Linked DNA regions of Oryctolagus cuniculus. The protein of the gene in region 1 purifies or fractionates together with the protein of each later gene. This does not show direct contact. Links are inferred from orthologs where the notes say so. Each region holds a gene or a part of one and is shown in the gene's direction. Other genes may lie near its edges.

Region 1 (3,801 bases):
TAAATCTTAAAAAAGAAAAAAAAGGCATAGTGAGAGACAGAGAGAAAGGGGGGCTCGTTTTTGACCTCCAGTCTCTGGTTAGCCCAGGCCGTTAGGTGTTGGCATGATGGACCCGAGACTGGGTAGGGGAGGGTGTCCGTCCTCAGTTCTCTCCTGAGGGGCAGGATGTCCCCAGACAGACTGCAGTGGCCAGGTGACTTCGCACCCATTGGCCGGCTCTCCCCATCTCCTCTTGCTCCCACGACCCCTTCAACTTGAACCGCGCGCTGCCGAGCCGTCTCTGTCCCCCTTGGTCTGCTGGCCTCTCTTAGGTGGCTGAGGGCTGTGCCGGGCCTGGGGGCAGATTCTCCCCCGTGGGCTGACCAGCAGCCCCCGCAGCAACTTCTGCTCTGCCTGGCTCCCTCCTCCTTCCAGTACCCCCACTCCCACTGTGGGGCAGGGAACCTCAGAGAAGGGAGGTCCCTGGGCCCCCAAGTTCTGAGCTGGACCCCCAGCTGTGTGACCCATATCAGGCCCAGCCCAGCCCACTCTGAGCCCTAAGTCCCATCTGCGAAGCGGGGTACCCAGCCTCCTTCCTTGGGGGAGGGGACTTGGCTTGATGAGGACCCCACTCCCAGTGGGTCCCCTCCGTGCTGGGACAGGAGGCTGAGGCCCTGGCTGTCATCCCCCTGGCTGAGGGACGCGTGTAGGGCCCCGTGGGGGCCGAGGCGGGCTGTGCAGGGTGGGCTCTGTCCATTGGTGGCAGATTTGGCCCTTCCTGGCCTGGCCTGTGGAGGCCGTCTGCCCGGGGATGGGCACCGGGGCCAGGTCAGGCTAAGTGAGTTGAGCCTCTTGCCGTTGCCACTGCTAGAGCGCTGTCCCTGTGCCCCAGGCCCAGGCCTGGCATGGGTCACCCCAGGAGGGCCCCTCTGGCTGTGGCTTTGGGTGGGGCTGGCGGCCTCTGCTGGGAGCCCAGCATCTGGAAGCCATCAGGCGCGGGCGGGGGAGTTGCAGGGGGGCCTGGAAAGGGGGGCCAGCCTTCTCCAGGCCACACACAGGCCCACCCCTCGGGAGCAGTGGCGTTGGGCCCGCCGGCTCCGCTGCCGCCTGCCTCCCGCCAGTGCCCCTCGGCCCACAGCCTCGCCCCTCCCTTGGCTGCCTTCTCTCTCACCCCACTGGCCACGGCAGTAACACTGCCCACAGCATGCCGGAGCTCTGTGTCCCTCAGGGTGGGTCTGCTTATAGGCGTGTATGCGCTTGGGGGGGGACTGTCCCCTGGGCTGTTGGCCTGAGGTCCCTGTGGTGGAGGGACTGGCACCTGTCTTGTCTCCTGTGGAGTCTCAGCCTGGGGGCGGGGTTGGGGTGGAGCTGGTGGCTGGCCATGGCTGTGGGGATGGGGGGGAGGGACCATCTGTCACTCCTGGGCTGGCAAGCCAGCGACTCTGAAGGAGGCGATACCCACACACAGCTGGGAGCCTCTGCTACGGAGGACAGCTCTCTCCCCAGAAAGGAAGCAGGCGACTTTTCGGTCTGGAGCGGGCTGTCTGTGCCCACTGATTCCAGTCTGCCTGGGGTCCCATGCAGCCCCCCACTCCCTCCAGCATCAGCATCAGGCAGACCTGGCACTTTTTTTTTTTTTTTAAAGGATTTATTATTTATTTGAAAGTAAGAGTTACATACAGAGAGAGAGAGAGAGAGAGGGGTCTTCCATGCACTGTTTCACTCCCCAGATGGCCACAATGACCAGGGCTGGGCCAGGCTGAAGCCAGGAGCCAGGAGCTTCTCCAGGGTCTGCTACGTGGGTGCAGGGGCCCAAGCACTTGGGCCATCTACCTCTGCTTTCCCAGCCACATCAGCAGGGAGCTGGATTGGCAGTGCAGCAGCCGGGGCACGAATGGGCGCCCGCGTGGGATGTAGGCGGCACAGGCGGCGGCTTTACTTGCTGTGCCGCAGCACCGGCCGCACGCCCGGCACCTTTTGCAGTGTCAAGGGTGCAGGCTACACTCAGGCCCCTCTTCCGGAAATGAACGGAGAAGACAGGGGCCAGTCGGAGGCGGAGTGCAGAGGACGCCGGCCTGAGCCTGCCCTGTCTTCCCGGCAGCCTGGCCAACATTCCACTGACCCCGGAGACGCAGCGGGACCAGGAGCGGCGGATCCGGCGGGAGATCGCCAACAGCAACGAGCGGCGGCGCATGCAGAGCATCAACGCGGGCTTCCAGTCCCTCAAGACCCTCATCCCCCACACGGACGGAGAGAAGCTCAGCAAGGTGGGCGGGGCCCCGGGGACCTTCCTGGGGGCCTTCCCGGGGGCCGCGGCCGCCTTGGGGGGGGAGGAGCAAGCGAGCCGCGGGGCCCTGCCGCGGCCTGACTCTGTCCCCGGCCGCCCCCAGGCAGCCATTCTGCAGCAGACGGCCGAGTACATCTTCTCGCTGGAGCAGGAGAAGACCAGGCTCTTGCAGCAGAACACACAGCTCAAGCGCTTCATCCAGGTACCTGCGGGAGCCCCCGCCCCCGCCCCCGCCCCCAGGCCCTGCCCTCCTCCCCTGGGCGCATGCCAGACCCAACCCCTGGCCTGGGGCCTCGAGGTCCCCATCTGTCAGTCGCAGTGGAGCGGGCTCAGGAGGGAACCCGATGAATGTTCTAGAAGCCGGGTCCATTCTGCGTCCGTGTGGCCAGTCAGTTGGATCTGCAGGATCCACATGCGGGGCGTGTGGGGGCTGTGGCGGAGCGCCCCCGCCTCTGTGCCGGTGTCAGGCGCCCTCACTGGCCCCTTGGCCTCCCCAGGAGCTGAGCGGCTCGTCCCCGAAGCGGCGGCGGGCGGAGGACAAGGACGAGGGCATCGGCTCGCCGGACATCTGGGAGGACGAGAAGGCCGAGGACTTGCGGCGGGAGATGATCGAGCTTCGGCAGCAGCTGGATAAGGAGCGCTCGGTGCGCATGATGCTGGAGGAGCAGGTGAGGGGCGCGCCGCGGGCTTCCGGTCCGCCGGTGTTCAGGGAGACCCTGCCCCTGGGGGGGGGGGCGGGGCGCATGATGCTGGAGGAGCAGGTGAGGGGCGCGCCGCGGGCTTCCCGTCCGCCGGTGTTCGGGGAGACCCTGCCCCTGGGGGGGGGCCCGGTGCGCATGATGCTGGAGGAGCAGGTGAGGGGCGCGCCGCGGGCCGGTGTTCAGGGAGACCCTGCCCCTGGGGTGGGGGCGGTCTGTGGGGGGCGCAGGGAGGACTGGAATCTAAGGATGGCGCTGCGGCCTCAGGGGTCGTTTGCATGGTGCCAGGGCGTGGTCCACAGCTCCTCTGGCGGATCGGGCCCAGAGGGCCGAGGGTGTTCCAAGTTCCAGCAGCAGCAGGTGGGAGGTGAGGACAGCGTCGTGGGCGGTGGTCAGGGCTGCCGTCTCTGTCCAAGCCCAGGGCTCTGTGTGCTGGCGTTGTTGAGGATTTTAGCAAGCGACTGCTGTGGCAGCAGTGGACGAGGGTGTGGTGCAGGCGCTGGCCTGAGCCTGCTGTCCTTCCGCGTCCAGGTGCGCTCCTTGGAGGCCCACATGTACCCGGAAAAGCTCAAGGTGATCGCGCAGCAGGTGCAGCTGCAGCAGCAGCAGGAACAGGTGCGGCTGCTGCACCAGGAAAAGCTGGAGCGGGAACAGCAGCACCTGCGGACCCAGGTGAGCGCGGGTGCTGGGCGGGGCCTCGCGGCCTGACCTTGGTGTCTCAGGCCAGGCCTTGGTGCCCTCTGGCTGTCCAGGGGCACACTGGGCAGAAGAGGAATAGATTCGGGCAGTTTCTGGGACATTCCTGGTTTCCAGCTCTCCTCAGTGTTATTACAAAGT
Region 2 (4,272 bases), on another chromosome or scaffold:
GTCCAAACCACAAAAAATGACCAAACACCCATTCCAGTTAGTTGGAGGGGGCTGCTGCTCCTTTACCAACTAAAGCTTAAGCCTCTACCCAAAATTCCCTTCCTTCTGATAAGATTTATTGAGATGGACGATCAACGAATGACCACCACTGCCTGACAGTCTCGACGGCCTCAAGTCTCCCGGATCACCTTCCTGAGACGCCCTCCTCCGGCTTCTCCTGGTGTGTGCTCTCACTCACTTCAACTAGCAGGAAAAGCAATGCGTTCAACCCTCCGTGTGTTCCCGCTGGGTTCTGGTCAGAGGAATGGCGAAGTCTGCAAAGTCAGGAGGCTGAGTTCAACTGAGAGGAGTCTCCAAGTTTTGCTTCTGAGCACCTGCCATTCTTCCCGTTCGTGTCTGCCGCCTTCCTCTCACAATTAAACTCCACGAGAACAGAGTCATGTTGAGAGCTGACTCCCTGTGCCTACAGCTGTACGCGGCAAAGGTGGATGCTTACAAAGCAGCTCTGAACGAATGAATGAGGAAGAGCGGCTCAGCCCACGCACGTTCCCTTTGGTCTCTCAGCTCCTAATCCGTGGGGCAGCCAGACAGGCCCACAGCACGTCAGCATCCCCCTTCCCCAACTTCATCTCCAGCCCCCTCAGTCCTCCCATACCCTTCCAGCTGCTTCCCTCGGTCAAGCTTCTCTCTCTTGCCGTCCTCTTCCCACACTTGAGCCCCAAGAGCCCACCTTCCTAATGCACTCAATCCATCAGTCTCCACCACCTCCCCCTCGCCCTCCCCCAAGCACCGGCGGACCCGAAGCCTCGCTACTTAGGCGTCGAATGGGCACTGCAGACACCCATCGCGCATGTGCGGAAACTGGTCGCACACGCAGGATCTCTGACAAGCGGGGAGTCGTCTCCGAGTTTCCGTCCCGGTCTCCGCAGCCTTAGGCTGCCAGGAAGTCAAGAGAAGGCAGCCGGAAGGAGAACCTGCGCGCAAGTCTTTCTGGGACATGTAGTCGTGGCGCTCCCGAGACCCTACCCCGAGCCAGCCCTTAATTCTTCTGGTCTGTACGTCCCGCGTTCACAGGGCAGTGCTACTTTCGGCTCAGAATTGGCTTCCGGCTATCAGGAAAGCTCGGCTCGGGGTCGGCTTCTCGTTCCCACAACGCTCTGCGGGGCCCGCGGCGCCTGCTGGGAGCTGTAGTGCCCGCCGTGCGTACTGCGTTCGCCGAGGGGGAGGGCGGAGCTGCCGGCGGCCCGGGCGGGCTGGCAGCTAGAGTGGGTGCGAGAGCCGCCTCCGCCTCTGCAGCCTCCGCCGTCGCCTCCTCCGCCCGGGCCGTTCGCTGCTGCGCGGGGAGAGCGAGGCGGGGCCGCCGGGGCCGCCATGGAGCCCGACTCGGTGATTGAAGACAAGACCATCGAGCTCATGGTGAGTGCGGCCCGCTGGACCGTCCGTTCTTCCGTCCGTCCGGCCCCAGGCGGGCCTGCCCACCTCAACGTCCGGCGCGAGGCTGGCCTTGGCCCTTCCCCGCCGCCTCGGCCCAGATCCGGGCCAGCCGTGTCCTGGCCTCGGGCCCAGCGCGGTGCCTCCCGATCCCTCGAGATCTCAGGCCGGACTTGGCCCGGCCCCCTCCATGCCCCTCGGTTCTCCCCCCACCCCCCCCCGTCCCTGTCCCGTCTCCGGCCCATCTTTCGGAACGACCCTCGCTCGTTCATGCTGTAGCTTTAGGTCACATCGTGCTAGCATCTCATTCTCTTTCTTTTAGGAGGCGATCATCCCCCCCCCCCCCCCCCCCCGCGCGCGCACCTTGTATTTCTCTGGCTCAGGCCCGCACCGCGCTTGCAAGCACCACTTAGGCCGAATGAGGTGGTGGTGGGAGAGAGTACAGAGGAGATCGTTACGGGCTGCCTCGGCCTCCGGGTCCTAAGAGGGGTCTCAGCACCCTCTCTCCAGCCCAGGGCTGTGTGGATGCCTGGGATAGGCCCTACAGGACTGGGGAGGTGGGGAGCTCTCTGATCAGAGGCTGTTACGGATCAGGGGCCTCTTCCCTGGGCTCCTGTGGTGTCAGGCTTCTCGGACAAAGGGTTTCCTACCCAGCCGAGAGGGATGTTTGCACAGCGAGGCCCCAGGTACTCTGGATTCCATCCCCTTGGAAAGGGAAACCATAACTTCACGTTTCCTTGAGCTGCTTTGGGAAATTGGGGGTGGGGTGGGGGGTGGAGCGAGGCGACCGTCGAGCTCATCACTGCCGCCAATTCTTTCTTCTCTCTAAAAAAAAAAAAAAAAAAAAAAAGAGGGGGGGAGGGTTCCTTGGCCCCTGGGGGGAGCGACCATTCTTCTGTTAGAAGCCATTGGCTGATACTCCCCGGTTCACGGACACCCTCCTCCCCTTTCCGTCTACGACTTGGATCCAGAGGAGTTTTTAGAAACAGGACCATGCGAGAGTGGCTAGCAGAAGTGAAGAATTTGCTAATTGGCGGCCGATGTGGTGGAGGAAATAAAATATGGCAGGAATTACCTGCCAATTGAAGATAAATCAAACGGGGCTCTGGAGGGAAGGAAGTCTTTGCTTCAGCAAACGACCATGCCCAGGGATTCTTCCTGTAGAAGCCTCGACAGTTTCTTTGTATCTCTCCCAAGACTGTAGCAACTTCAACCCTGGTAGGGTGGAGAGAGAAAAGGCTAAAGAATCTACTTAACCCAGCAAAATGTTTTCCTAGCCAGATTTTCTCCAGTGTGAAAATGTTTATTGAGTCAGTGATTCCACTGGGTAGGGTTGGTGACATCAGAGCCACTTCCCCCATTTAATGCTATAAATAATAAATGGTGACACTGAAAGTCTGTGGGGTAGCTGCATGGTGTCTGTGGATGATGGCATCTGGGGAGTTGAGATACAGGTCTTAAAAATGGAAGTACAGTAGCGTAAATTCTGAGGCAGCTTAATATTTACTGTCCTCTGCATAACTTACAAAGCTGGACTTCCTCAGCACTCTTGAAAACTAGGGAAAAAATTCTGATAGTTCCCAGTTCTTGCGTATGGGTGTGTGTGCACATGTGCCATTGTTTTCAAAGGGTTAATGTCAACTTGGGTTTTTGTTTGATCTTCATTTACTGAGTGATTTTCCTTTTCAGCCTACTTTATCAAACCACTTAGTCAAGTGTTTCGTATTCTGCTACTTTTGTAGTGGGTAATTTGGGTAAAATGATCTTAACAGTTAAAATCTTTAATGATCTTTTTGGAATTTTGGTAAAATAATTTGCATAGTCGTAATTACATATATGACTTAAGGATACGTTCTTGAGGATGTAAAATTCATGTACTCACCACAGGAGAAATACTTCATGTTGAAAAATTGTTAACTTGGTAGCTCTTTGAAATGGGCTGTTATGAGCTCCTTCCATTTCCATTCATGTAAGAAATAACTAAAATGTCTTTATTTTCAAAAGCATTAGAATAAAATGTACTGTGCAACCCAAGTCAGTGTCTTTGAGTGTCTTAAAATAAAAAGTCTTTGGCCTACATTTACTGACTTCCTAAATCCATAATGCGGGCAGATTTGATTTTACATGATATGGTACTTGTCTTTGATCTGAAAAGAGAGCTCAACCTTCTAAGGACATTATAAACTAAGACTTAAACTGGGATTCTTAGAAAATTTAGCAGAGAATTTAGTAGTTATGGTCAGTTTTAAAATTATTTTTCATTTAAGGATTTCAGTATTTCCTGAAGGGGCTATCAGTTAAGACTGTTAGATAGCCCTTTTCATAAGCTTATATGTATTTATTTTAGTATAGGATATATAGTGCAGTTGCTTAGCAAACTGATTAAGTAAAATCCAGGATCAAATATAGGAATCATGCCTTAAAAATCCAATTGCTTGTGGCTTTCAGTATTTACTATTTTCAAAGTACAGTTTCCAGAACTAAGTTAAACGTATTTTTTATATTGGTTTTAAAGTAACATGACTGAGGGAATGGGTTAAACCAATGGTATTTTATAAGGCTAAAGTATGAAATATTTTAGATTTTTATGAGTCAGCTTCAGTACTCACATATTTGTGAGTGTGCTGCCTGCACCAGTGTGGAACTTAATGGTTAACTAAGATAACTTTCATTTGATATTCCAGAGTGTGCTATATTAGAAGGAGGTAACGGACTTTGCAGTTTCTTCATTTCTTAATCTTCATCCCTCCAGTTTCTTTGATTTTGATTTTTTTTTCCCCTTGCACTTTTAGTTAAATTTACTTGGAAAGGAAGGTGGCGATAGCACAATAATTAACTCTC

Evidence for each region.
Region 2: the proteins of TFAP4 (region 1) and FBXW11 purify together in Homo sapiens (affinity purification with mass spectrometry; 7 studies listed by BioGRID and IntAct, counting the BioPlex papers as one, with this or other methods). This does not show direct contact. The link is inferred for Oryctolagus cuniculus from reciprocal best matches to the Homo sapiens genes TFAP4 and FBXW11.

The regions. Positions count from the first base shown.
Region 1 is NC_091450.1:31,318,283-31,322,083, forward strand, and holds part of TFAP4 (transcription factor AP-4), read left to right. Parts: exon of another isoform or gene 1-1,208; intron 1,209-2,080; coding exon 2,081-2,246; intron 2,247-2,369; coding exon 2,370-2,468; intron 2,469-2,763; coding exon 2,764-2,934; intron 2,935-3,495; coding exon 3,496-3,636; intron 3,637-3,801.
Region 2 is NC_091437.1:58,691,766-58,696,037, reverse strand, and holds the start of FBXW11 (F-box/WD repeat-containing protein 11), read left to right. Parts: upstream 1-1,223; 5' UTR 1,224-1,371; coding exon 1,372-1,416; intron 1,417-4,272.